7 linked regions of the Rattus norvegicus genome follow. The protein of the gene in region 1 interacts with the protein of each later gene in a biochemical or structural test. Links are inferred from orthologs where the notes say so. Each region holds a gene or a part of one and is shown in the gene's direction. Other genes may lie near its edges.

What was found.
Region 2: the proteins of Pcna (region 1) and Rfc1 form a complex in vitro, tested with the Homo sapiens proteins (5 studies listed by BioGRID, with this or other methods). The link is inferred for Rattus norvegicus from reciprocal best matches to the Homo sapiens genes PCNA and RFC1.
Region 3: the proteins of Pcna (region 1) and Dnmt1 form a complex in vitro, tested with the Homo sapiens proteins (3 studies listed by BioGRID, with this or other methods). The link is inferred for Rattus norvegicus from reciprocal best matches to the Homo sapiens genes PCNA and DNMT1.
Region 4: the proteins of Pcna (region 1) and Poli form a complex in vitro, tested with the Homo sapiens proteins (4 studies listed by BioGRID, with this or other methods). The link is inferred for Rattus norvegicus from reciprocal best matches to the Homo sapiens genes PCNA and POLI.
Region 5: the proteins of Pcna (region 1) and Trim28 form a complex in vitro, tested with the Homo sapiens proteins (2 studies listed by BioGRID, with this or other methods). The link is inferred for Rattus norvegicus from reciprocal best matches to the Homo sapiens genes PCNA and TRIM28.
Region 6: of the proteins of Pcna (region 1) and Rnf8, one has a biochemical effect on the other in vitro, tested with the Homo sapiens proteins (2 studies listed by BioGRID). The link is inferred for Rattus norvegicus from reciprocal best matches to the Homo sapiens genes PCNA and RNF8.
Region 7: the proteins of Pcna (region 1) and Rev1 form a complex in vitro, tested with the Homo sapiens proteins (2 studies listed by BioGRID, with this or other methods). The link is inferred for Rattus norvegicus from reciprocal best matches to the Homo sapiens genes PCNA and REV1.

What each region holds. Positions count from the first base shown.
Region 1 is NC_086021.1:139,953,021-139,957,096, reverse strand, and holds the start of Pcna (proliferating cell nuclear antigen), read left to right. Parts: upstream 1-1,276; 5' UTR 1,277-1,338; coding exon 1,339-1,559; intron 1,560-2,365; coding exon 2,366-2,463; intron 2,464-2,608; coding exon 2,609-2,676; intron 2,677-2,909; coding exon 2,910-3,104; intron 3,105-4,076. UniProt on the Homo sapiens protein: Auxiliary protein of DNA polymerase delta and epsilon, is involved in the control of eukaryotic DNA replication by increasing the polymerase's processibility during elongation of the leading strand.
Region 2 is NC_086032.1:43,318,370-43,322,567, forward strand, and holds the start of Rfc1 (replication factor C subunit 1), read left to right. Parts: upstream 1-1,398; 5' UTR 1,399-1,711; coding exon 1,712-1,714; intron 1,715-4,198. UniProt on the Homo sapiens protein: Subunit of the replication factor C (RFC) complex which acts during elongation of primed DNA templates by DNA polymerases delta and epsilon, and is necessary for ATP-dependent loading of proliferating cell nuclear antigen (PCNA) onto primed DNA.
Region 3 is NC_086026.1:27,717,842-27,721,341, reverse strand, and holds part of Dnmt1 (DNA (cytosine-5)-methyltransferase 1), read left to right. Parts: intron 1-1,309; coding exon 1,310-1,476; intron 1,477-1,753; coding exon 1,754-1,931; intron 1,932-2,339; coding exon 2,340-2,816; intron 2,817-3,162; coding exon 3,163-3,253; coding exon of another isoform or gene 3,254-3,500. UniProt on the Homo sapiens protein: Methylates CpG residues. Preferentially methylates hemimethylated DNA. Associates with DNA replication sites in S phase maintaining the methylation pattern in the newly synthesized strand, that is essential for epigenetic inheritance.
Region 4 is NC_086036.1:66,399,717-66,403,216, reverse strand, and holds part of Poli (DNA polymerase iota), read left to right. Parts: intron 1-2,014; coding exon 2,015-2,251; intron 2,252-2,526; coding exon 2,527-2,705; intron 2,706-3,500. UniProt on the Homo sapiens protein: Error-prone DNA polymerase specifically involved in DNA repair. Plays an important role in translesion synthesis, where the normal high-fidelity DNA polymerases cannot proceed and DNA synthesis stalls. Favors Hoogsteen base-pairing in the active site.
Region 5 is NC_086019.1:82,723,584-82,727,694, forward strand, and holds the start of Trim28 (transcription intermediary factor 1-beta), read left to right. Parts: upstream 1-1,311; 5' UTR 1,312-1,594; coding exon 1,595-1,940; intron 1,941-2,229; coding exon 2,230-2,342; intron 2,343-2,565; coding exon 2,566-2,698; intron 2,699-4,111. UniProt on the Homo sapiens protein: Nuclear corepressor for KRAB domain-containing zinc finger proteins (KRAB-ZFPs).
Region 6 is NC_086038.1:7,686,965-7,690,464, forward strand, and holds part of Rnf8 (E3 ubiquitin-protein ligase RNF8), read left to right. Parts: intron 1-3,064; coding exon 3,065-3,193; intron 3,194-3,500. UniProt on the Homo sapiens protein: E3 ubiquitin-protein ligase that plays a key role in DNA damage signaling via 2 distinct roles: by mediating the 'Lys-63'-linked ubiquitination of histones H2A and H2AX and promoting the recruitment of DNA repair proteins at double-strand breaks (DSBs) sites, and by catalyzing 'Lys-48'-linked ubiquitination to remove target proteins from DNA damage sites.
Region 7 is NC_086027.1:47,844,528-47,848,708, reverse strand, and holds the start of Rev1 (DNA repair protein REV1), read left to right. Parts: upstream 1-1,381; 5' UTR 1,382-1,656; intron 1,657-2,778; exon of another isoform or gene 2,779-2,841; intron 2,842-2,881; exon of another isoform or gene 2,882-3,402; intron 3,403-3,494; exon of another isoform or gene 3,495-3,519; intron 3,520-4,181. UniProt on the Homo sapiens protein: Deoxycytidyl transferase involved in DNA repair. Transfers a dCMP residue from dCTP to the 3'-end of a DNA primer in a template-dependent reaction.

The sequences.
Region 1 (4,076 bases):
CAAGACAAGCTAAAGAGAAATGCTGTAAATAAGGGAAGAATAAATACACATGATATGTGGTTAATATTTTCATACGTAAACCATTCCTTTTTCCCCCTTCGTGTCAGTCTTGGTAGATAGTCCAAGCTGAGTTTAAATCTAGGCCCTCCCACCTCAGCCTTCCCATGTGCTGGAATTAGCTGTAAAACACTCTTACCAGCTAAAACAATCCTTTTAACTTTCTGAAATTTTATATGTCTTATTAGTAAAAAAAAAAATGCAAATAAATAAAACATCACACACCAAAAGTTGTGTCTACAGTTAGAAGAGGCATTCCAAATGGAAGCTGGAAGTTTTACACTTCCACTATCAAATATATTTTATCTACCACCAAAACCAAGAGAAAAAGCATTAGAAATAGAAATCATTTATATCCTTTTGTAAATGATGCCCATTACCTACATTCAGTTCTTCTCCATCCTCATAATCAATAGGAAAAAGAAGTTTTAGTAGAACAAAATGCTGCAGCCCAGGGACATATGAAAGACGCTTCACCTGCAACAGCTAATATTTTCAAGATGGGGCTCAGGCTTGGGTTCATCTTAAGCCTAAAACTAAGATGAAAATACTAATATCTACCTTTAAAAATATAAAAGAAACCAACCATACAGGAAACTAATTACGTGGTACACATGAACTATATATCTTTGCAGAAGCGTTCGCGTTAAGAGGCATTTTTTTTTTTAAATCTTTAGGGAGGAAAGTTCAGAGCGAAGCACCCAGGTAAGTGTTATGAAATTGGGGAGTGTTCAGATAAGATGGCCTCTTTATTACTCAATATTTTGCGGCATATTTTTTACGCAGTAGTAAAAGAAACGCACTCCACTGTGTTTGAAGGAACTACAGTCTCCCTCTTCAAGGCAGGCCGCCGCGCACTGCAAGTGGCTTTCATTTCCGTGGCGCAGAAACTTCCTAAGGAACATGGAAACCACAGCCTAAGCTCCCTCCAACACCGGCGGTGACGACAGCCTACGCGAACCCCGTGATGCCCCTCGCCTCCCACGCTCTTACCGCACAGCTCCGCCTCTGTATACGCGGCGGGGCGGGCCTTGCTCAAACCACGGATACGATTGGTTCTAGAGGAGAGGTGGGTGGGTCAGCGCTGTGACGCCACAACCTCGCGCACTGAAAGAGCGCGCGCCTAGGAAGCCGCGGCATTAGACGGTTGCGGGCGCAGGTGACTGGTTATCGTCCCTCCTGGTCTTCACGCTACTTCTGCATCGTGAGTCGGGGTACCTTGTCAGCAAGACCTCGCTCCCCTTACAGTAACTCTCATCTAGACGTCGCAACTCCGCCACCATGTTTGAGGCACGCCTGATCCAGGGCTCCATCCTGAAGAAGGTGCTGGAGGCCCTCAAAGACCTCATCAATGAGGCCTGCTGGGACATCAGTTCGGGCGGCGTGAACCTACAGAGCATGGATTCGTCTCACGTCTCCTTAGTGCAGCTTACTCTGCGCTCCGAAGGCTTCGACACATACCGCTGCGATCGCAACCTGGCCATGGGCGTGAACCTCACCAGGTGAGCGGGTGGCGGGAGCTGGGCCCCATCCCTCCCGCTTCGGCTCTTGGCGGGGCTGTGTTCCTGCACTCGCATTGGCTGGCATGGCCGTCCGCGCTTTCTGATTGGCCTGTGGTGCCGGGGACATCACCCACCAAAGCGCGCGGTTCCGAAAAGCCCGCGCTGGCTGTCGCGCCTACTTTTTTCCCGCGCCAAAGCCACAAAGCGGTAGTCAGCGGGAAAATGCGTGCTTCCGAGCTGCGCTCATTAAGTGCCTGCAGCTTTTTCTGGCCGATTTTAGCGCCTAATAAGCGAGTTCTGGTGAAAAAGGACTGTCGACTTAGAGTCTTAGAGTGACGATAGGCCTTTTCTTGACTTCTAGAATCTCACTGCGCGTCATGGATTTGCAGGAAAATCTCAGTTTTAGCTTTTAACTTTGCTACAACTACCTGTGTTAGTGCCTCCTGTATACATTTCAAGGACAATATGTGACTTATTTTGGTACAGATATATGGATTAGTGTCACTTGTATACATTTTGAAACATTTATGAAAAGGCCAGACGCGATAGGGCACACTCTCCAGTACGCTGAAAACCGAGGACACCCCACTAAAAAGGATGCGTTCTTGAATGTTGGCTTTTAGTGCATTTTACTAAATCGATTTTTAAGGATCACATATACCCGATAATTTGCTTAACCTCTGAGAGGGTTCGGGGTACCCTTATCCTCCCTAACAATTCTCCAATCATGAATGTGAAATATAAATTTAAAAATGTAAATGTGGAGACATGATGTTGATAAGCCCTGTGTCCTTTTTTTTTTCTAGCATGTCCAAAATTCTAAAATGTGCTGGTAATGAAGACATCATTACATTAAGGGCTGAAGATAATGCTGATACCTTAGCACTAGTATTTGAAGCACCAAGTAAGTTACACCCTTAAAACTCAGTTGCTACAGAAATTAAAGTGTGCTGTTTCTGTTTCTCACAATTAAAAACAACAGGGTTGTGGTAAATTTACAACATAGATATGAACATGTGCTTCAGTAACACTTGGATTTCTTTTGGTAGATCAAGAGAAAGTTTCAGACTATGAGATGAAGTTAATGGACTTAGACGTTGAGCAACTTGGAATCCCAGTAAGTATCTTGTTTCTGATGGTGTTTTACCAAGCTGTGATACCAGCTGATGCATGTTCTAAAGTGGAGTTGTGGTGTTTGCCATTTCACCAGACCACAACAGCCTAAACTTGATTGAGTTGTAAAGACATCAGAAGTCTTGTGTTCTGAGTTCTAGTTAAGGTGCTGAAACTTGAGAACATGAAGCTGAGTCTTCCTCTTTTCTAGACTGACCTTTAACCTTGCATTTACAGGAACAGGAGTACAGCTGCGTAGTAAAGATGCCATCTGGTGAATTTGCACGTATATGCCGGGACCTTAGCCATATTGGAGATGCTGTGGTGATCTCCTGTGCAAAGGACGGGGTGAAGTTTTCTGCGAGTGGGGAGCTTGGCAATGGGAACATTAAGTTGTCCCAGACAAGCAATGTTGATAAAGAAGAGGAAGCTGTAAGTAGCAAGAGGTGTCGTCCAGCTAACTGTGTCTGAAGCAGGATTGCCGGCTTAGCCATTAAGCCTTGACTTCTGTTTGTTTATTCATTCTTTCATTTTGAGATGGCATTCTGAGTAGACCAAGCTGGCTTGGAACTCAGATGATGCCACATAAGCTTTTACAGACAGGATTTGGAAAGCTAAGTGTACAACCTTTTGCTTCCTGGAAATACTCTTGACAAATCAGTGAGGATTAGCAAGTGAACGGAATGGTTGGGGGTGTAAAAGTCTTGGGATCATGTAGCTCCTCTAATAGCTTTTATGTGTTGTAGGTTCAGTTACTAGTTCATTTAATGGTGCAAAAGCAGACTGAGCAAAGTTAGGTTGTAATTTAGGCCTAGCTACAGGCAACAGGACTCAATACAATAATAAGAATATCCACAGTACCAAAGGAAATAAGACTTCATGCAACTCGGAAAGAGTTGCATTGAATACTCTGACATTTTATGTGCCTAGAGGAAGCTGGACATGGTGGCTCAAACCCATAACTGTGACACTCAAAGCAACAACAGGATGATTCTCAGTTTAAAGTCTACCTTGCAGAAAATGGATCTCAAAAAATGGGGAAGAAATTGGGATGGCAGGGGAAGATGCTTGGCAAGCCCTCATTCAAGCAGAACACACTAGTTCTCTTAATTCCTAAGTAGCCCTGACTCAAGGCTTTCTCAGGAATCAGATGTATATTTCATGGTTACACTTTTAAGTTTTGCTACCGAGCCTTAGCATCAAAGTCTGAACTAAGTGAGATTTCAGGGTTAATATGGTGAGATTCAGAGTGCTTACCACAAAGTATGTAAGGTAAATAGAAGGTGTTACTTTCTTGTCCTCTGCACAGACTTAAAGTAAATGTAAGTATAAGAATTAGAGCATAGATAGATATACACACAACTCAGAGAGCTAGTTCTTAACCTTACTCTGCTGAATTATGTC
Region 2 (4,198 bases), on another chromosome or scaffold:
AGCAAGTGCAAGGCCCTGGGTTCAGTCCCCACCTCCGAAAAAAGAGGAAAAATAAATAAATAAATAAAATCCAAAATCAGGCTGGAGAGATGGCTCAGCAGTAAGAGCACTGACTGCTCTTCCAGAGGTCCTGAGTTCAAATCCCAGCAACCACATGGTGGCTCACAACCATCTGTAATGCGATCTGATGCCTTCTTCTGGTGTCTGAAGACAGCTACAGTGTACTTACATATAATAAATAAATAAATTTTAAAAAAAACCAAACCAAAATCATGTTGCGATAGACACCTAGTAAATAAAAACTCTTGGGGTTGGGGATTTAGCTCAGTGGTAGAGCGCTTGCCTAGCAAGCGCAAGGCCCTGGGTTCGGTCCCCAGCTCCGAAAAAAAAGAAAAGAAAAAAAAAACCAAAAAACTCTTGTATTCCTGAAGGCTTTATTGCCTTTCCCTGTAGATATGTGTCACAAAATGACAAGACCCAACAAGAAGTGGTTAGAAAAAGATTTCAAAGCCAAGGCCAAAGTTGGATACTGTCCTCGTCACTAAATTCTTTGATAATCTCATGTTTTCTCTTGAAGTTGTATGTGAATGTTACTTTCTATTCCACAACCAAGTTGCTTATTTACTCACAGGAAGCTTACTGGCCCATGTGAGTCCCCACCCCTGTAATCCCAGCAGCCGGGTGGTGGAGGCAGGCCTACTTCCTCCCTCCCTGCTGAGACTTGCTTATCCTAAATCTTTCCTGATTCTAGTTTTCCTGTGGGGGTGTATCTTGGTATGTAGTGGCTTCAAAGATTTCACTATTCTTTAAGTGACTGAATGAAGCTTTAGGAAGGAATTAAGGGGCTAGTTTTCTTAGCTTGGTAGTTTTAGAACAAAGCCATTGAGGCTGGGGTTTGCCCAGTCGGTTGCATGCATTCACAGTAGCTCTGAGTTTGATCCCTTGCATTGCGTAAACCAGGAATGTTGGCATATATCTGAAATTTCAGCACTTGGGAGGCAGTTAAAAAAATCAGTTTAAGGTCATCCTCAGCTACATAGTTTACCAGGATGGAATACATGATCTTCTGTCTCAGAAAACAGCTCCTCCCCAATAAACAAAAATATTCCTTTAATGTAAACAGTCCCTTAAATGCAAACATATAACCACGCGATGGAAGACAAGGGCTCCCCGAAAGCTCTTCTTTGACTACTACTCGTGGACTCCATCTCCAATAAATAAATATATAAAAAGTAAAAAAGAGGGGTTGGGGATTTAGCTCAGTGGTAGAACGCTTGCCTAGCAAGTGCAAGGCCCTGGGTTCGGTTCTCCGCTCTGGGGGAAAAGACAGTAAAAAAGACTCGTCCACTTCTGGCAGCCGCTACAGAGGACTGCCTTTGCAGCACGTGTACGGGGAGGGGAAGGAAGCCACCTGGGAACCCGCCTTAGAGGAAGTCAGTCTCAGATCCCAAACTGGGCGTCTCTGTTAGGATCGCTCACGTATTCAGTGTCTTACAGACTTAGCAACCCTCTTGTTGCCAAGGCTGTGCGCAACTCCCGCCTCGGGGCGGGGCCGCGGGGAGCGCGCCTCCGACGTCATCACCGCGCGCCGCCTGAGCGTCTGCTACTTCGCGGGAGAAGTTGTTGGCGCCAATGTATTCCGAGCGGCGATAACGGATACCCCTCCAGTCACGGGCCTGCCCACCTGCTCCTGTTCGGTCGTGGGGCTGCGATGGTGAGCCACCCGGGAGGCGGTGCAACTACAGAGACTTTGCAGGCGGGGTGTGAACGGGACGCCGCCGCGGTGCTGGGTGGGGAGGACCATGCAGAGTGCTCCGAGGGGCCCCGTTTAGGGTTCGGGGCGCACCAGGGACGCAGCGTGCAGGGATGTGGCTGCTACGCGGCACTTTCACACCCCACCTCCCGACTCTTCGGGGAAGGGAGGAAGAAGAATTTGGACGGGGCGTTAAAAGTTACTTTCGTGTCCAGCATTGTACCAAATCTCTGTTGGAATGCTTCCTTAAGTCGTGACTTCAAGCTTTGCGAGGAAGAATGTGACGCTTGCCTTTCTCAGGGAGAAGTTGCTCGGGCCTTCAGGTTTAATCAGCTTCCTGAAGTACGTCTCAGCCGTTTAGAGAGCTGATGACACAAGGAAGTTGTTTTACTTTGTTTAGAATAATTTATAGGACTTGAACGGATAACCTGGTTTACCAGGAATAAAAAACACGGACGTTATGTATTTGACAGTTGTCATCTCTTATCACCTGTTACAAAAAGTAGTTTTTTAAAAAAACCCTCTGTTCCAACTTCAATACATAATTCTGTGTAGTGAACATTAAATAGATCGAAAGTGAAATAGTCCTTGGCATAGGAGATAGTTACAAGTTTGAAATCATCTTTAACATACAGAACAACTGAAGATGTTGAGCTAATCCACAAGATATTTAACAATCACATATATAACACACACACACATAAGTATACATGTATATATACTTTTATTATTAAGCTTGTCAGAACACCAGCATTCAAGGGAGAAAAGTGTTATACCAAATTGGAAAAAATTTCAGCTCTGTTTTTAATTCTTGGGGAGAGAAGATAGTGATGGTAGCCACCGGGAGTCAGCCTTTTTATTTTCTGGATTATGTGTGAGTTGTTTGCTTTAAATACCTTCTAGAAATTCATCTGAAGTGTTGTTCTAACAAAGATTTATTCCTATTTTAGTCATGTGTGTCTCTGTGTTTGTGTATGCATACATGTGTTTGAGGGCCCATGTTGGCCAGAGGAGGGTGTCAGACCCTCTGGAGCTGGAGTTACAGGTGGTTTTGCATGGCTTGCTGTGGGTGTTATTTATGGAAGTCAGGACCTCTGCAATGAACGGTATGCACTGCTAACCACTGAACCATCTCTTCAGCCCCCAAGTTCATTAAATTTTTATTTAACTTGTAGTGTGTATATTTTGCCTGAATATATTTCTGTGAGTATACATGCCCGGTGCCATCAGAGGCCAGAAGAGGGTGTCGAACCCTTTGGAATTAGAGTTGAACTCATGTCCTCTGAAAGGCAGCAAGTACTCTAACCACTGAGACATCTCTCCAGTCATTCCTTTGCAGTTTATAGGTGGCGCATGCCTTTAATCACAGCAGTTGGGACACAGAGGCAGGCAGATCTCTATAGGTTCGAGGCCAGCCTGCTCTATTGAGTGAGTTCCGGTATAGTCAAGGCTACACAGAGAAATCCTGTTTGGAAAAACTTAAAAAAAAATTATGAGTGTTTTGTCTGCATGCATGTATGTGCTGCATATGCAGTCCTGGTCCCAAGAAGGTCAGAAGAGTACAGAACTGGAGTCATAGATGGGTGTGAACCATCATGTGAGTGATGGAAACTGAAGTCAGGTTCTTTGCAAGAGAACCAAGTGTTCCCACTCACTGAACCATATCTCAAACCTCCCAAGTTCATTTTGTTTTGTTTTTGTTTGTTTTATTTTTTGAGACAGGGTCTCTACGTAGTCCAGGCTGTTCTAGAGCTTACTATGTAGAGCAGGCTGGACTTGAACTCACAGCGATGTTTCTGCCTCTGCCTCCTGAGTACTGAGATTAAAGTCCCTTGCTTTCATGCTCAGCTCCAAGTTCATTTTGAAGGAGAATTTTGGGTAATAGTACCATGTATCAGGTCTTGAAATTAAAATGTTTATAGATTAGGCACATCTGAACTCATGATCCTCTTGCCTCAACTTGTAGGCCCTCCACAGTCAAGTTTTATAACAGTAAAGATACTTTTTAAACAGTTTGCCATACAACTAGTAGGTGGTTAAACTAGAGAACCTAGGCATTTTTGACCACTACATTATTCTGCCCCCCTAAAACGATCAGCGTTACATTTTGGAATTTAGGTATTTTGGTATTGTGGAAAGTTAATGAGATTTTGATGATGGAGTATGAGGTAAAGACTGTTTAATAGTTAATATTAGTATCTAGACCTGTACAAGTAAATTAACTTCTGTGACTCTCACACTTCCAAGTGCTAGATTACTGGTGTGAACTGGACCCCAGGAAGTAGCTTAATTTCTTGGTTTCTACTTGCAAAAAGGATGCAGTGAATGATAACTACCTCGAATAACTTAACGTTAAAAATATTTATTTACGGGCTGGGGATTTAGCTCAGTGGTAGAGCGCTTACCTAGGAAGCGCAAGGCCCTGGGTTCGGTCCCCAGCTCCGA
Region 3 (3,500 bases), on another chromosome or scaffold:
GCAGGCAGAGGGGCGGAAGTGGCCTCCCCTAGTTCAGTCCCTGGGCTGCTGCTCCCCGTCGCTAACCAGGAGACGGTTGGGCTGTGAGTAGCGGAGGTCTGCATGCCCAGCAGTATGGTTGTGAAGATAGTGGCTCAGCTCAGGTGGAAAAGCATAGGTTAGCCAGGTATGGAGGCCCACACCTCTAATGCCAACTCTAGGGGCACAGGTAGGCACATCTGAGTTTGAGGCCATCTGGTCTACAGAGCTCTAGGATGGCCAGAGCTACACAGAGAAAGCCAGTCTTCTCTAGTCCTGGGAGGCTGGAGAAGAGGGATTCCATGCATTGAAGGCCGGCATCTCAGGATTTAGAGCTAGGCCGCAGCTCAGTGTGGTACATTGCCTTGGTCCTGTCCCCAGCACCCAGAGTGATCGTGGTTAGCTGGGACCCAGTTGGTAGAGAGCTCGTTTCACCATCAGGAAGCCTGGGTTCCATTCTGGCCACCACACAGACGTGGTTACGCACACTAACCATCCCACAAGTAAGAGGGGATTGTAGGTAGGATCAGGACTTGGTTTCTTCTTTGTCTACATAGCAAGTTTGTGGCTAGCCTGGGCTACAATGAGACCTTGATTCCACAATCGGACAACAAAATTAGCTGTTCAGTGGGTGCTGAACTAACAAGTCATGGGAGGCCACCTGGGATGAGCTTGGTGTTCCCAACCCTCGCCTCCGCCTTGTGCTCATCATCTTCATGACTGTCAGGGGTGGAGGGAGGGCTCTTGGCCTCCCCAGTGCTTTTTAATCGTCTTTGCAGTGTTCCCTGGGAGGGCTGGGATTGACCGGTGTAAGGTCAGTAAAATACAAGAGAAGCGGCCCAGCAGAATAGGATTTATCCAGAGCAAACACGGGATGGGAGCTTTCCTTCTGGTCACACAGAGGTCTTGTCATCCACTTACAGATGCAGGAGTTACCGTGAGGAGACAGGGAAGAGTCGGAAGACATAGTGATGGGTTAGCATTCCCCGGGGTCAGCCTTAACTGAGCTTGACAGAATCGGGATGGCAGGGGCCTATGCAGACGAGTGACTTTGCTTCTATAAATTCAACTTACTGTAATCTTGGGGGTTGTCCCCATTTAACCAAAATGAGAGTTTTGCAAATGGCATGGCCCTGGCTGACTGGGGCAAACTGTTACTGCTGGCCAGTGGCCGCCATGCCACTTGGTGAGTTGCAGGTATGCATATGCGTTGCTGCTTTCCAGTCTGGCTCTCTGAGAAGAGCCAGCTGGGCAAACACTGCCTAATGCCATCTCTCTTCCCCTGTTGCAGGCTGGACAGTATGGTGTGGCCCAGACACGAAGGAGGGCCATCATCTTGGCTGCAGCCCCTGGAGAGAAGCTGCCTCTGTTCCCAGAACCTCTACACGTGTTTGCCCCCCGTGCCTGCCAGCTGAGTGTTGTGGTGGACGACAAGAAGTTCGTTAGCAACATTACAAGGTAGGAGCTGTGCTCGGCCCCCACGTGTGGGAGAGTGGCTGTGACAGTGCCGAGCCCTCCATGTTTTGCTCGTGTTCCCTGGCTTACTGAGGAGATCTGTGTTGGACTCTGGCTGGAATCTCAAGCCCGGTTGGGTTTGCCTCACTCCACCTTAGGTCCTGCCTCACGTGCAGGCAGCAGACTTGAGAGGGGCCCATACCTCAGCTGCCCCTCACATCCTGAGTTCCAGCAGAGGCCACCACCCGCTTGACCTCTAATAGAGCACCTTCTGCTGCAGGCTAAGCTCGGGTCCCTTCCGAACCATCACGGTGCGAGATACCATGTCTGACCTCCCTGAGATCCAGAATGGAGCCTCAGCCCCCGAGATCTCCTACAATGGAGAGCCACAGTCCTGGTTCCAGAGGCAGCTGCGAGGGTCGCACTACCAGCCCATCCTCAGGGACCATATCTGCAAGGTAGCTAGCTTCCCTTCGGTCTTGCGAGAGCCTGGCCCAGCTTCTCTCCTGGGCTCGCTTACATCTCCGTAGCCTCAAGGCTCAACATCTCTGATCTCCTACCCGCACAGTGTCATTTTCAGATGGTCCAGGTTGACATCCAAATGTCCCCACAGCGCCCTCTTAACAGCGTTTCTGTATGGGCTTTTCCTACATCAGTCCTCGTGTTTGTGCTTCCCCGGCTGACTTCACACGGAACCTCTTTGTCCAATGCGCTCACCTCACATGTCCCTCCGGACATGCACCAGGCGTCCTCGGCCATCTCTCAGCTGGGGTTGGGTGGTTGTCTCATCCTGATGGAATCCGAGCCTCTGGCTCCCCTTTTGTGCTCCCTGAACTGGGTTTCAGCTGGGATTCCCTGTGTTCTAGGACATGAGCGCGCTGGTGGCTGCCCGTATGCGGCACATCCCGCTGTCCCCAGGATCGGATTGGCGTGACCTGCCCAACATACAAGTGCGGCTGAGAGATGGCGTCATAACCAATAAACTTCGCTACACTTTCCACGACACGAAGAACGGCTGCAGCAGCACCGGGGCCCTGCGTGGGGTCTGCTCCTGTGCGGAAGGCAAGACCTGCGACCCTGCTTCCAGACAATTCAACACGCTCATCCCCTGGTGCCTGCCGCACACTGGGAACCGGCACAACCACTGGGCTGGCCTCTACGGGCGTCTGGAGTGGGATGGCTTCTTCAGTACCACCGTCACCAACCCTGAGCCCATGGGCAAGCAAGGCCGGGTGCTCCATCCCGAGCAGCACCGGGTCGTGAGTGTGCGGGAATGTGCTCGCTCCCAAGGCTTTCCAGATACCTACCGGTTATTCGGCAACATCCTGGACAGACACCGGCAGGTCAGTCCATCCCAGAGCTTGTCACCAAGTAGCCTCAGCCTCGAATTGGGAGTAGGGGGCCACAGCTTGTGAGTCAGGTTGTGTGTGTAACTGTGGGTCAGCAGCAGCAATGCAATGGCACAGATGCCCTTCCCAGGCTTTAATGCTAGCACTGGGGAGGCAAGTACGTGGATCTCTGACCCCAGTCTAAAGAACTACATAGACCCTGTCTCGGACTGAGCAAGCAAAAACTGTCAGTGCCTGTGGTGTGTGGACATCTCAGTGTAGACCAAGTCCACAAAACTCAGGTCATGGTCAGGCCCCTGAGCCTGGTGTCAAGCTGACGTTACCTCCTTCCTTCCTGCAGGTGGGGAACGCTGTGCCACCACCACTGGCCAAAGCCATCGGCCTGGAGATTAAGCTCTGTCTGCTGGCCAGCGCTCAGGAGAGTGCCTCAGGTATGTGCCACCTTCCTGGAAGGCCACTCCAGTCACTGGGGCCTGTGTACACACAAGGTGAGAGTGGTAGAGCCGGGGCAGATGGCACAGTGGCCTTTGAAGGCAGTGTGAGCATTCTGACAAAGCCAGCAGGCACTGGCCTCAAGGACCGCCCCAAGCACTTGGGTGCAGGGACAATGAGGAGCTGTCTCAGCCCTGAATGTTTCCAGTCGCATACGGGTTCTCAAGGCAGCTTGAGCATCTGTGT
Region 4 (3,500 bases), on another chromosome or scaffold:
TTTTCTTATTATTCTTCCTGCTCCTTGTTTTTAAGAGCTCTGTCTCTGTAGGCTGTTCTTAATTTACAGACATTGACTTCCTACTTTTTTCTTTGTCATTTTTAATTCTGAATTTTGAGGTAGGCTAAGTGTGTTGTTGATCCCTTCTGTTCCTCTGAGGACAGAGATTCCCTTGTTGGATCCTGGCTACATCCTGTCCAGGCCTTTAGTCACAGGCCAATCTGCTCTTTGCTGGTGACTTCCCCAGGCTTCAGGTTAATCAGTTCAAATGACCATTAGCAACAATTAGCAAAAGCGACATGGTTTATCTCCCCATATGAAGAAAGTGCGGAAGACAGATGTTTTTGCTGGAATATTCACATGTGTAAATAAATTGTAATTAGTGCCCAGGAGTATGTAATTAGGCGTCTAGACTCCCAGGGCTGCTAGAGAATGCAGCCATGTAGAGGTCTAGCTTCTTCTGTAAGAGAGGCCTGGCGTAGTCGGGCCTGCATCTCAGCATGCCCCTCCTCTTATGCCCGTTTAGAGTCTCCTATATCGTCGACACAGACGATGGGCCCGAACCTCCACGTCTAGAGACATGAAGCCTCTCCTGTGTGGTTTGTTCTTGTGCCCTTTTGTCAGCCCCGAGGGTGAAAGCCAGAAAGATTACAGATCCATCTTTGTTCAGCTTTTAAAGCAGATGCAGACTTACTGTTTAGAAAACATCAGTGGACAGAGAGCTCGGTTTCATATTTCAAATGAAGACTGCCTAGTTTCTTATTACTTATTCTTCTTTTATGTAAGTTATTAATTGAAACCAGTCTTACTATGTGGCCTGGCTGGCCCGGAACTTCGCTGTTGGCCAGGATAGCTTTAAACTCTGCGATCAGCTTGCCTCTGCCTTCCAAGTGCCTGCTCCACATAGGTTTAAGCACAATTTCTTTGAATAAGTACGTAAACAGGCAGAATCCTGTGTGTGGACGCTCTTGTCTGTTATAGACAAGCCAGTTGCCATTCGGGCACAGGTATTTTATCTTGCCTCTGTGGACTGTGCATGTGCTGTCAGCTAGGCCGATTGATGAGCTACTGGGGAGTAAGTCCTGTGACAGACACTTCATCTCCACGTCCTTCCAGCATGAATCCTAGGATGGATCATACAACTCTGTTACCCACACCAAAGAAAACGTGTTTCTTTCTCCCCTCCCTGTAGTATCGTGAGCAGATTTCATAACCTGGGGCCCAGTCATTATTTGCAGCAGGGCGTTCATGGGGTGCACAACATCCAGACTTCATTCTAAAGCTATGTTTTCCTAGTATATAGGCTTCCTTCTGTTTCTTTATTAGTAAAGGTGAATGAAGGTCTTATGCATGTCAGCTAGAACTGCCAGGAACTGCATTTTCACAGTCTGCTAGTGAGTAAGCACTCTCAGCATGCATTTCTCGTCACGGACCCTCAGCATCTGGTTAGTTTGTAATGACTCAGGACAAACTAAGGAAGCAGTTAGAAGAGTAGTGGGGAGTGTCAGGGAGGAGTGTGGGGGAGGAGTGTGGGGGAGGAGTGTGGGGGAGGAGTGTGGGGGAGAAGTGTCGGGGAGGAGTGTGGGGGAGGAGTGTGGGGGAGGAGTGTGGGGAGGAGTGTGGGGGAGGAGTGTGGGGGAGGAGTGTGGGAGAGGAGTGTGGGAGAGGAGTGTGGGGAGGAGTGTGGGGGAGGAGTGTGGGGGAGGAGTGTGGGGGAGGAGTGTCGGGGAGGAGTGGTGGGGAGGAGTGTCGGGGAGGAGTGTGGGGGAGGAGTGTCGGGGAGGAGTGTGGGGGAGGAGTGTGGGGGAGGAGTGTCGGGAGGAGTGTCGGGAGGAGTGTGGGGGAGGAGTGTGGGGGAGGAGTGTTGGGGAGGAGTGCCAGGGAGGAGTGTCAGGGAGGAGTGTGGGGGAGGAGTGTCGGGGAGGAGTGAGCATGGACAGATCCCTGGGCTCTTTGAACCCTTTTGGTGAGAGAGAAAGTGCATGTTTGTGAGGTGATACCTTTGTCGTTACAGCTGTAAACCTGCACAGCAGCACGCATGTGAGACTTGCGGTTGGATCGCAGATTGCAGCAGAGATGCGGGAAGCCATGCATAACCAGCTGGGGCTCACAGGCTGCGCTGGCGTAGCGCCTAATAAACTATTGGCAAAGTTAGTGTCTGGTGTTTTTAAACCAAATCAACAGACAGTCTTATTACCTGAGAGTTGTCAGCATCTCATTCACAGTTTGAACCACATAAAGGAAATGCCTGGTAAGACAAATGCATTTGCAGACAAATACTGGCCTTGTTGTAGTTTCTTTAAACTATGCAGTTAATTCCTAGAAGCGCACACTTGGGTTTGGAGAAAGCCAAAAACCTGAAATGTTTTGTGTACGAATCTGTGTGCAGATAGACGTGCAAGTGCTTTTCCACACAAGGCTTTGAGTGGTGCCCTGGAGCCGTATGGTGGAGACATCTTTGATGTTGAGAGTAGCTTGGCTTTGAGACGCAAAGCCTTCGCAACACTGTGCATTTCTGTTGTTTAGGTATCGGCTATAAAACCGCCAAGCGTCTTGAAGTCCTGGGAATCAATAGTGTGCATGATCTCCAGACCTTTCCAATCAAAACCTTAGAAAAGGAATTGGGAATTTCTGTTGCTCAGCGCATCCGGAAGCTCAGCTTTGGAGAGGACAAGTCGCCTGTAACACCCTCAGGGCCACCACAGGTATGTGGGCTTGGCGTTAACCTTACCAGGTGGTGGTTATGCTACCTCAGCTAAAGGTGTCTGGCTCTCGGATCCACTACTCTGCTGTGCTTTGCGGCTGTGTGTGACCCTTTCCCGGGAGAAGCTGACTGCTGTGAGAGGAGCCAGTACTCTGAAATTGAAACTTGCCTGCTGGTAGTTTTAAATCTAATTACCTACTTTTTGTTACTACTGCCTTAACACACAAACATATGAAGAACACTTTTTAACCTTTTAAAACATCCTCACCTTTAGACTAATCCAGAGATTTGGACAGTGGGGAGGGAATAACTACCCAGTTGTTTGGCACGTGCTAGGCCTCAGAAATTGCTCCACAGACCCACTGCAGTGAATTTCACCATAACCTCTTAGATAGGCAGTGCTGTTTGTTCAGACCTCCCTTCCTGCTCCTGTCCTTCCTCTTTCCCTCTTTAAAGCTGCACTATAAAAAGGTTAAATAACTTGTCCAAGCGTAAACTCAGATTAAGGCTCTAGGGCCATGGAAACCTTGCTGTAGTCCCATAGAGTAATTAGAGGTGGTCCCTGTGCTTCAAAATTGTATGACTCTTGGTGCACAATAACAGGACACACAGTAATGGCACACACAATTGCACACACAATAACCTCACACAGTACTGCACACACAAGATAACTGCACACACAGTACTGTGCACACAATAGTCTCACACAGTACTGCACACAAGATAATTGCACACACCAGGAATTAGTGCAAAAGTGAACCTGGTGTTACCAACGCATAAAGATAGGTAGTGAAGA
Region 5 (4,111 bases), on another chromosome or scaffold:
CCCTACCCTGGTGAGTCTGGCCCCAGCAGTCCGTGGGGCCGTGAAAATATTCGCAAATATTTCTACGGGAAGCCCGCACTCAGCTTCCAGATTATACTATCCTTTTCAGAGGTAGAAGTGAGAGTCCAGAGGCTGGGTCTGGTGGGGGCGTGGCCCGCCGAATGGTGAACGCAGAACTGCCGAGATAGGAACAAAGGCTGGGGCGGGGCAAAACCTTGGGCCCCCAGCTTGATTGGGAACAAAGGCCACACCCGGGACAGTGGCGGGACACTCCTCGCCTCTCCGCTGCCACGTGGGTGAACACCTGGTTCTGCACGGAGGAGGTAGACTCTTGTTGAGAACCCTAGAGTTGCTTGTGGGCAACTCACTCTAGCCCAGACCCAGACCGTACCCAGTACACTGCAAGGCTGCAGAGGCATCCACTCAGCACGGCAGTAGAATGGCAAGGGGTACAGGTTGCCTTTTTAACACTGATCCTGCATCTGAGATGAACCGCTTCACCGCTCTTGATCCTGCTATTCTTTTCCTTAAATCAAATTCTTCAGCCAAGGTCCTGCTCCTCATGCAAGATTATTCCCCAGGTCTTATTTCTCCCTCAGATGAGATTCATCACTCAGATCCAACTTTTATTCCTTCGCGTTAGATGTTCAGTTCTTCCACCTCCAAAAAACCCACTAAAACCAGAATAGCAGAGGACTAAAACAGAAGAGGCTTTCGAAAGACTGGGCAGAATTTTACAGAATGGTTTCTCAGTACCTCTCTGTGATCTGCGGTTTGACTTGGACAACTTTTCGCTTCCCGAGTTTAACAATAAAAAAAGTTTGGGTTAAGACCGCCTCCACGCTCGGCGGGAACTTCCTGCCAAAGACCCCCTCACCCCCTCCACCTGGGCTCGGTCTCTGTGCTCAGCCGTGGCTCCGCCCTCTTCGGATTGTCCCGCCCCTCTTCGCGGACTATAGGCCAAGCTGCGGCTGCGGACGTCGCCACGCCTGCTAAGGAGGCGGGGCCTAAGGTACGGTTCTGCACGACTCGCGCTTTCCAGCACGCGAGGAATAAGCCTCGGTGCACTGTACGGTGGGCATGGGAGACATCACGCACGTACTCCGCGGGTGAATTTCCTACCGGTAGTCTTGCTATCCTGGACCTAGAGGGGCGGCTGCGAGTAGAAGGGAGGGCCCTGGCGCGTGCGTAATCTGCCTGCGCCCCGCCCCCAGGCTGCGGTGCCCAACGCGCGTGCGCGACGTCGTCGGCGCCAGATATTTCTGTCCCGCCTCCAGGCCGCGGCTCTTTCTGCGAGCGGCGCGCGGTCGGGCGGTTGTTCGCAATTCTTGCGGCGCGAGTCTCAGCAGCAAGGGAGGAGGCGGCGCGGGTGGCGGCGCCGTCGTCTGTAGAGAGGCCGGCAGCCAGCGGCTTGGCCGCATCTCGGCAGCGCCTGGGGCGCGGCGGGCGTCGGCCCAGGAGACGCGTGGCGGCGCTCGGCCTCGCGGCATCGGCGGCTGCCTGGCCGTTGGCGGCGAGCGCACTTGCGCCTGCGCAGCGGGCTCGGTGCCCCTCCTCCCCTGGGCGGCCCCCCCAACCCCCCGGCGGCGTGTGAATGGCGGCCTCGGCGGCGGCGGCGACTGCGGCGGCCTCGGCCGCGACGGCCGCGTCAGCGGCCTCTGGTAGCCCAGGGTCGGGCGAAGGCTCGGCGGGCGGTGAGAAGCGCCCCGCTGCCTCTTCAGCCGCGGCGGCCTCGGCCTCCGCGTCGTCCCCTGCGGGGGGCGGTGGCGAGGCGCAGGAGCTTTTGGAGCACTGCGGCGTGTGTCGCGAGCGCTTGCGGCCTGAGCGGGATCCTCGGCTGCTGCCCTGTCTGCATTCGGCCTGTAGTGCCTGCCTTGGCCCCGCTACACCCGCCGCAGCTAATAATTCGGGGGATGGCGGCTCGGCGGGCGACGGCGCTAGTGAGTACTGGGTGGCCAGGTGCCCCTCCCCCCTCCTTGAAGCCCGTGCTCGGGACTGCGCCTGTGCGAGAGTATGGGGGCCCGGGTAGGGTTAAGTAGGCCTGCTGGTTTAAGAGGGGGCGGGGAACGGGTGCTGGCGGCTTGCAATGCCGGTTACCAGGTCTGGACACCGAGATGCAGACTGTGGGGTAGGAGTCAAGAAAGCCGAGTGTCTGGCTCGACTTTTGAGTTGGGGGCATAGCTTAGGTGAGCATGCAGTTAGTTTTTTCACACATTCTTGTCTTGGCAGTGGTGGATTGTCCAGTGTGCAAACAACAGTGCTACTCCAAAGACATCGTGGAGAATTACTTTATGCGTGATAGTGGCAGTAAGGCCTCTTCTGATTCCCAGGATGCTAACCAGGTATGTCCTTTGGGATATCTTGTAAGAGAGGGAGGCATCTTTTCTGAAGCATCTCACCAGCTTAACTAGTTTGGATAGTATGTTCATAACAGTCTGAGTCTCTGGAAGGGTAGTACAGATTTGAATGCATTATGTAAAATTTAGTTTGTGTTTTCTGGGAAGTAAATAGAGGTCCGTTGGATAGTTCTGCCTGTTCTAACCCCCGCCTTTACTTCACTCACAGTGCTGCACTAGCTGTGAAGATAACGCCCCAGCCACTAGCTATTGTGTGGAGTGCTCTGAACCACTGTGTGAGACCTGTGTGGAGGCTCACCAGCGGGTGAAATACACCAAGGATCACACTGTGCGCTCCACGGGTATGTTGAAGATTTGAAGGCTGTTGGAACTGCCCTTTCTTGGTTGACTCAAGTGCATACTTGCAGGATGGGACAAGGTGTTTTTTTTAGGAACCTGACACAACTCAAAAATGCTTTGGTTCTGGAGCAGACTTTGGAGGTCTAGGTGGAAAGGGAAAGGCCACAGGTAGAGGATGTGTAGGGTTATTTAACACCTGCTACAAGTCAATACTAGGGATTCAACTAAGGTCATCTTGGAAGTCTCCAGGGGAAGGTTGTAGGTCCTGGTGGTGGGTCGATTAGCATAAGCAGCTAATGAAGGCAAGATGAAGTGACTTGGATTTGGATGTTCTCTGGCACCTGGCTTTAGCTGCTGAAAAAGGGCTTTTGAACAGGGAGAATTTCTTGACAAGTTAAGACTCTTAGGCCATTGTTTAGGGTGAGTCCTGGAGTAATTCAGCAGCAAGCCTTCAGCATCTTCCTAACTAAAGCTTATGGTCAGATTGATACCTTGTTTTCTGGGTTTGGTCCTGACTCTGATGTGATGGTGAGTTTCTTCCTACTTGGAAGGACATTGTTAAGGTAGTAGTAGAAGGCAGTTGTAAGGCCGGTGTGAGAAGTCAGGAGTGATAGGAAGAGGACTGCTCTTACTAGTGGTATGTAGTTTGGGCTTGGTTAATACAGCCTGAATTGGAATAGCATCGGGGAGAAAAGGGACTGATAGGTCAGTCCATACTTTTCTATTTTGGTGAGACACTGCTCAGGCTAGCCTTGGACCCCTCCCCAGACAGTTTCTGTGTATAGCCCTGGCTGTCCTGGAACTCTGTATAGGAGGCTAGCCTCTCAGATTTGCCTGCCTCTCCCCTGGGATTAAAGGTGTGTACCACCTGGTTTTCCCTTGAACATTTTATGCCCCTCCCACAGCTCCAAAGTGCTGGGATTAAAATAGGCATTTGGAATGTGCATGTTCCCCGCCCTTTTTGTTCATTTGTTTTCAAGACTGGGTTTCTCTGTTACGCCCTGGCTATCTTAGAACTTTTTTTTATTTTTGAGGCAAGGTCTGTATATAATCCTGTTCTTTAACTCACTAAGCCAGGAATCAGGGTGGCCTTCATGCAGAGATTCTACCTACCTCTGCCTCCCCAAGCGCTAGGTTTAAAGTTGTGACCCACAAGGCCTTTTTTGTATAGGTAGATGATAGCTCAGCATATAGTTCCTACTAGCCCATCTGGCCTGTAACTCACTCACTGCAAATCAGATTGGTCTCAAAGTCAGATCTTTGTTTTTTTTCTTTTTTGCCTCCTGAGTCCTGGGACTCAGGACTTTTGAGCATTTCACTGTAGAATCAAGTTAAGATTTTAGGAATGTGAGTACACTGTAGCTGTCTTCAGACACACTAGAAGAGGGCATCGGATCTCCATTACTGGTGGTTGT
Region 6 (3,500 bases), on another chromosome or scaffold:
GCCAAGATGTTGAACTCAGGCTGTCAGGGTTGGTAGCAAGTGCCTTTACCCACTGAGCTATCTCGGGGTCTGCCCCCCCAGTTTCCAACTTCTGACATAAAACAACACTCAAATATCGCCCGTTTTGGAATCTGGGCCTATCCTATAGGCAGGCGGGCGTCCTCTCCCATCCCCACTTCCTACTGCTAGGGTTCTGGGCACACCTACCACACAGGGTTCAGGCAACACCCCTGTGTTGTCAAGTATCTGCTGTGTAGTGGGTCAGAAAGCAGTGGGGATGAGATGTGCACTCTAGGAAGCAGTGAGGGCAGGATGGACAGGTAGGAGGGACTTTAGGGCTGTGCTAAGTGTATGCTGGTAACGTGAACTTCGTGAACTGTGTCTCACCACTTGTAGGTGAGTGTAATTAGTGTGGGCCCTGAGCGGGTGAGTCTGGGAAGAGGAGTTTACGGTTCTGAGGAAAGCATTTTAAGCAGAGCCCAGTGTATATGAAAAGGCCCTCGGTCGACTGGAGTGTGGATAGCTTTAGGTTAAGTGGGGTTTGAAGACGAGAGGTGATCTGACCTTTTCTCTATCCGCTCTGTAGCTACTGTGGGAAGAGAAAGACTCAGAAAGGAGCTGAAAGCCCAGGACTAGGTGGACTGGAGGTGGCAGTGAAGATTCCCAGGGCAGAAATGACCGCAGGATAGGATTAGGTACAGTTAGGGTGTGGGAATGAAGGACTCACAATCAAAGGTGGCTTCTGTGTTCTCAGCTGAGGTCTAACTTGATGGTCAGGTTAGTTACAAGCAACTAGTAAACTAGGCCCGCGCTGTCACTGGTCTTTAAGGAGCTCGAAGATACGCTTCTGAACGATTTACAAAAGGAGGAATGAATGCATGTTGTAGAAAACCACAGACCGTGCACGCCTTTAATCCCAGCACTCAGGAGGCAGAGGCAGGAGAATCTCTGTGTTCCAGGCCATCATGGTCTACAGAGAGTGTTCGGAAATAGGAGAGGAGAAAACCGTAACCTTGGCTGTTTTCTGCTACAGTCACCGTAGCTCTGTCAAAAGATCACATAAGCACAGAAAACAACTAAGAAACTAAGGCCTGGGTCTCAGAAGAGCCTCATTTCCTTCCCTCACGTAGCTGTGATTGGACAAGTGCACCAGGAAGTTTGATAGGTGGAATCTGAGCTTTGTTTCTGTCTTCTACAGAAACTCCAACTGTTCTCGTGGGTAAGCGCAGGCCCAGGGCTCAAGGGATTTAGTTGTAGACTACAAACTAGACTTTGCAGAGTGCGTACCCCATGTGTGTACAGGTGCCTGCAGGGGCCAGAAGAGGGCATGGAGTTATGAGCTCTTACCCACTGAGCACCGCTCCAATCCACACTGACTTTATGTTTCATATGCCTTGACTGAAGGTACAGCGTCAAGTGCCATGTCCGTTTCACGGGAATCTAAAGCTAGAAGGAGCATTATGTCTGTGACAGGCTGAACTAACAAGATGACAGGGAACGAAGGCAGCTTCAGGTCCTGCATTTGAATGCACATCTGCCAGCTAGTCACGTACGGAAAGAGACACACCATGATAACCTTGGAGAGGAGGATCAAGAACTGTAGTCATGGGGCAGGAGAGATGGATGGCTCAGTGCTTAAGGGCAGTGCTCTTCAGAGACTGGGGTTGGAATTCTAGCACCCACGTGGCAGCTTACAACTGTAACTCCAAGATCTGACACTCTCACATACGCACACATGCAGGCAAAACACCAATGCACATATAATAAGGGCAATAACATTTAAAAATTTTAAAAAAAAATGTTGTTTCTCTGGCCAAGGATAACTTGGCAATGTACTAGAGCGCCGTGACAGCTGGTGCCACACATGTGCAGGTAACCATGCCTAGAACTGGGAAGCTGATCCATGACTTGGCCTCGTAGAAGCAGGAGAGCGAGCAGAACATGGAGAGGGCAGTCTGGAAGGCCATCTCCAGCAGAGCATAAGCCTCCCGCTTGTAACCCACCCTTTGACTTCGAGCTGTGTCGCTGCTTTCCAACACCCCTAAGAACTTACGTTTGTTTCTCTAAGCACAACAGCTATACAGTAAACCAGGAGTCCTCTTGAGAAGATACACTCGAACTCAGACCCTGGGAGTACAGGGGGAGAACGGTGACCCGGGAGACGCTTCACAGCTGTAGAAGGGGATTGGAGAGTTCCTGGTGAACCTAGGGCAGAACCAGGGTCAACTGAAAACAGTTTACTGAGAAAACCCCAAGGCCTGGCATATGCATAAAGGCAGTGCTCAAGATGAGTCGATGGCAGTGTGTCTCCCTTGTCATTGATGGTAGAAATAAATGACCTGTCAGGGTTGTACGAGCCTGAGTGTTTATATTGGCTCTTTTTTGTTTTTATTTTTTAATTATTTTATGGCTGTGATTGTTTTGACTGCATGTGTGTTATACACACACGTACCTGGGGTGGGGGTATGGGCAGAGGAGGGCGTCAGATCTGCTGTAGCTAGAATTACGGATGGTTCCAAGCCACCTTGTGGCTGTTGGGAAAATAAACCTGGTCTTGGGGAAGAGCAGCCAATGCGCTTAACTACTGAGCTGTGTCACAGCCCTCCATGGTTAACTCTTCTTGTTGTTTATGTTTGGTATTTGAGACAGGGTTTCTCTGTGTAGCCCTGACTGTCCTGGAACTCACTCTGTAGATCAGGCTGGCCTTGAACTCACAGAGATCGCCTGCCTCTGCCTGCCTCTGCTGCCTCTGCCTCCCCAGTGCTGGGACTAAAGATGTGCTGGCTGGCTTTTTTTCCTCCCCTTTTGGTTACTGTTAACTCTTAAGTGTTCTCTTATCACAACGTCTTGCTTTGGTCTTTGTGGTGGCTCCCTGTGGCAGGGAGGTGGAGGAGGAGGAGAGGGAGGAGGAAGAGGGGGAGAGGACAGCAGATGAACAGTTTAGGGTCCACAGGTGTCTGGTTTCGTAAGTCAGGACTCGTGTTTGCCGCTGGTTGGTAAGACTGTAAGGAACCTCCCCTGTTAGCAGAGTGACTGAATGTCCTAAGTTGCCCTTGTCTTCCAGGTGACCATAGGACGGGGATTCAGTGTCACGTACCAGCTGATCTCAAAGGTGTGCCCTCTGATGATTTCTCGAAACCACTGCGTTCTGAAGCAGAATCCTGAGGGACAATGGACGATTATGGACAATAAGGTACAAGAGCTCACTCGAGCCTAATGGCTTCTGTTGAGTTGTGTTTATTTCTAAAAATTGTATATTATTTTACTGTATGTGTGCTTTGGGGGGAGGGGCGGTGTGTGAATGTGAGTGCATGTGCCAGCCCAGGATACTGTTGCCGGATCCCTCTGAGGTGGAGTTGAAGTCGTGGGCCACTCTGGGTTCTGGGAACTGACAGGATGCATGTGATGCTCTTAACCACTGAGCCATCTCCAGACCTATTATAGATTTAAAAGTTTCCAAGACAGGGTTTCTCCGTGTAGCCCTGGCTGTCCTGGAACTA
Region 7 (4,181 bases), on another chromosome or scaffold:
TACGAAAGAATAGGGAAAAAATCAGAAATTGAAATATAATTGCTTATTCCTTGTAGAGCTCAGTTATTTTTCAGTCTCAAAATTAAAATTTTGCTCTTTTCCTTAACTGGAAATAACTGCTGTGTAGAGACAATTTTTACAAAGTCCCCACAAGCCTAATTGCCCCTTCCTTACCCCCAGTGGCATTTCATTACACAACCTGCTGGTGTTGCAGCTTAGAGCTCATTCTGAAACTCCTGAAATTACACTGTATCTATCTTTTCTATTGTGGGTCCGGAGAAACAGGCAACTCTCTGGGGGTATGGAGGGAATACTGAAGTTGAATTCATCAAGGAGAGCAAGCAAACGAAACAAGAGAGGGAGAGGTTAAAATTGAGACAGACATATATGTTTCAATGTATATATACATACAAATGTATATGTGTATATACAGAGAGAGAGAGATTTTATCCGAGTATCTCCTGTCTTTCTGGGAAAGGAGCCTCAGGTTTGCAAAGTCAGTTTTAAAAAGAGAACTGATTGTTTTCTAAGTGCCTGCAAACTCCTTTCAAATGTCTAAGCCGGAGAAGGACCCAAAGTGTTGAGCCTAGGGCGAGGAGTTGGTTGGCTCAATGTCTGAGCATTCCAACAATAAAGATTGTCACAATAACCACACAGTCTTCCATTGAACAGACACAACAGAGGCTGGGAAAATGAGCCTTATAAGACCACTGGTTTTTTTTTTTTTTTTTGCTAGAAGGTGTAATTGTATCTAAACATCCGTGAATAAATAAATGTGTGTAGCGGTTGTTTTTAAACCATCACAAGGGAAAGCAATTTTCATCAGGTCTGTGTGTTGCACGCGGGAAAGGCAGCAGCCGCAGGTGGAATGCGGGGTCGGCAGTGATAAGACTGTGCGGTGTCGTGTCTGGGCTCTGCCCAGCTGGCTGCCGGCAAGCGACCCTGCGTTCCGCAGAACGTTGTGGGCCGCGCGGTTCTCCGCTCGCCCAACGAGCATATGCCAGCCTGTGTGCGTCCTGGCCGCCGCTAGGTGGCGCCGCACATCAGTCGGAGCGCGCAGCAGCGCTCGGAGGACCCTGCGCGGTCGTCCACGGGGTTAGTCCGGGCACCCGCGCCCTCCGCGGCGGCTGGGGAGTCCGTGCGGGGTGGGGCGGGGCGCGGCTGCGCGTCGCTGCAGCACGATTAGCCAGCCAGCCCGGGCAGGAGGCAGCGTGGTGATGCGGCGGGCCCCGCGCCACCCCCGCCCAGCCAGCCGCACGGTCACGTGCCGCCGAGGCGCTGCTCGCCCCCCCTCTCCCGCGGGCGCCGGCGCGAGAGGAGGGCGGGGCCGGGGTCGCCTCGGGCCGGGCGCGAGCAGCGCGCGTGCGCCGCGCCCGGTGAGTGCGAGCGGGGCCGGGCCAGCCGGCCGCGGCAGGGACGGGAGGGGGAGCCGGGGCGCGCGCCGGAGCGGCGGCGGGGGAGGGGCGGAGGCGCGAGGCGGGCGCCGCGACTGAGGGAGCGTGGGCCGAGGCGCGGTGCGGCTCGGCAGCCGCCTGACCGGTTGCCTTCCCCGGCGTTCTCCTCTGCCGCTGCGAGGGCATTGAGCGGCGGCGGCGGCGCCCGCGGGCCTGAGGAAGCGGTCGGGCCCGGGCATGGTGGCCTGGGGCGGCGCGGAAGGTGAGCGACCCCCGGGCCGGCGGGTGGGGGAGGGGAGCCGAGCCGCCAGGGTCCGGGCCGCCGCCGCCCGCGCGGCCCGAGGCGCCGGGGCCTCGGCCGGGAGTCCGCGGTGCTGCCGCGAGGCCTCCTGTCCGCCGCACCGCGCCGCCCCTGCGCCTCGGGCCGCCGGGTTATGTAACGCGTGACCTCCCGTTCCCCCTCCACCCAGGCGCTGCCTCCCGCGCTCCGTCGCGCGCCCGCGGCCCTGCCTCCGCGAGTCCCGCCGCCGGCGTCGCAAGTCCCCCTTTCCTCTTGCGCCGGCGCCTGGCTGGCCATTCATTTCCTTGCGCGTTCGAGCGTCCGCTCCACCAGCGTTTGCAGAATGTGGCCGGGGCGCCCGGGGCCCGTGCCGCGTGCCGCGGTTCTCCGCTCGCCCCTCCGGTGCACCGGCTTCCTCCCTCCTGCCTTGCTCTCAGGGACCCCGGAAGCAGTGTGTTCCTCGCTCCTTTTCCCTTGTTACTTATCTGTCCCTTCCGTGTGCAGGACACCTGTCCCCAAGTGTCCGTACAGGTGCTCAGTTCATTGACACTTGGGTGTGCTGTTAAAACAACAGTCGGGGTAGACAGGCACTTGTCTGTTTGGAGGCTCTTCCTGTCCCCGGTTTGCAAAGCCCGTACCTTCCTGCAGTATCGTTCCGTAATTGTTTTAAAAAAACACTACAGGTGGTACATGCCTAGGATTTTACTGTGTTTTTCTTGGACCTGGCGGGTATAAAGTAGAAACGGTGTGTAGATTAAAAATAGAGACCTGGTAGAAAGGATTTAACTATTAGGGACTATGTGACAACTCTTAAATGATCTGCTTGGTCTCTGGCTCCTCTAGTCCTTTAGGTAGAATTATAATGTCATAATAGGAGTGCACATTAGTTCAGTTTAACGCTATCTCCATGAGTCAGTTTTCCCACAGAGGCAGTGCTTTGCCCAGACAAATGTCGCAAGAACACGCTTCCCGCCCTTCCAGTGCTGGACACTTGGAAGCTTACCATCCAGGAATTCAGTCTGGGAGAGTGCTTTCGCTCACTGCTTAGCCTAGTTATTTGCCATCTTTCTTGAATTTCTCTGTTTTCTTGTTTGTGTCTTGTAGGTCCTTTGAGGTCAGTATGTACCAAATCGTGTATCTTGTCATGAAACTTTACTCCTTTTTATGGTAAATAATGCGTATTTGTTTGTTTGTTTTTTTTAAGGGTGGGAATCGCTTTTAACATTAATCTTATCTCTATGTCGTCTCATGTAGAAAAATACACGTTTTCAAAATGAATGTGCTTAAATATGTAACTACACTTCTTTACCACTGAAAAACTAAGATTCAAAATAGGAAGAAAAAAAAAAAAACCTGTTCTCAACAACCGGTCACTGTAAATAAATTCCAGTGACTACATATACCTATGTTTAACAGTCAAACACACAGTATTTAATGGCTTTTGAAGTGGAAAGATCAAAGCATTTAGATATGGGCTTGAATTTTGTCTCTGCTGGTATATGAATTTGGACAAGCTTTTCTTTTTTCTTTTTTCTTTTTTTTTCGGAGCTGGGGACCGAACCCAGGGCTTTGCGTTGGCTAGGCAATCGCTCTACCACTGAGCTAAATCCCCAACCCCTGGACAAGCTTTTCATTCTTAGTTTGAAGACATCATTTTCCAGTTTGGGTAGCTGACTAATTACTTCTTAAATAAAAGGCATTTAATGAGACTGAATCCACAGGTACCCAGTAAGTGTCTTCTGTGGCGTACTCTTGTAGCTGTGCACTGAATAGGATTGGTATGCTAGAGAGAGTACCATGAGAAGAAAACTAATCACAGGAGGCCTTAGGCACCTGCTTCTACAAGTGAGTACATACTGAAGGCTGGTGTGATTCTTTGTGCTTAATTAGAGTATTGGGGATTGCAAATCAGGGTATAAACTGGGTTTGGCTCATCTCAGCAGTAGGTAGGCAGAGGCAGGGGGATCTCTGGTAGCTTGAGGCCAACCTGATCTACATAGTGAGGTACAGATCAGTTAGGGCCCGAAAAGTTAGACTCCATCAGAAATAAAAACCGAAATAAATCAGGGTAAGTTAAACAGAATATCAGTAAAAACTTCATTTCTAGTAGCAACAATGCCAACATTAATGTGGATATTAATAGATATTTTAAATTTTAATTTTCTTTGAACACAACTTGAGAGCATGAGGAGAGTGATAATTCAGAGACAAGTTTCAGGCACTTTAGTGTCTCCTTGTAAACCATGCACAGATACAAGTCTTAAGTTCTAGTGTTACCTTCCTTAAATTGTTGGATTAGTGCCCTTACTGGTGTCCTTATTTTCCTTGCTGTCACTCACATAACAATCAGAGTGACCTTTTGAAAAAGAACTTCGGTTGAACTTTTCATAGTTAAAATCTTCCAAAAACTCTAGATATTAGAATTGAATCTAAGCTCCTCCTCCCTGCCATCAGGGCAGCTGCCAACTTAGCCTTAGCCTTACCCCATGACTCTCTCTCATATTGGT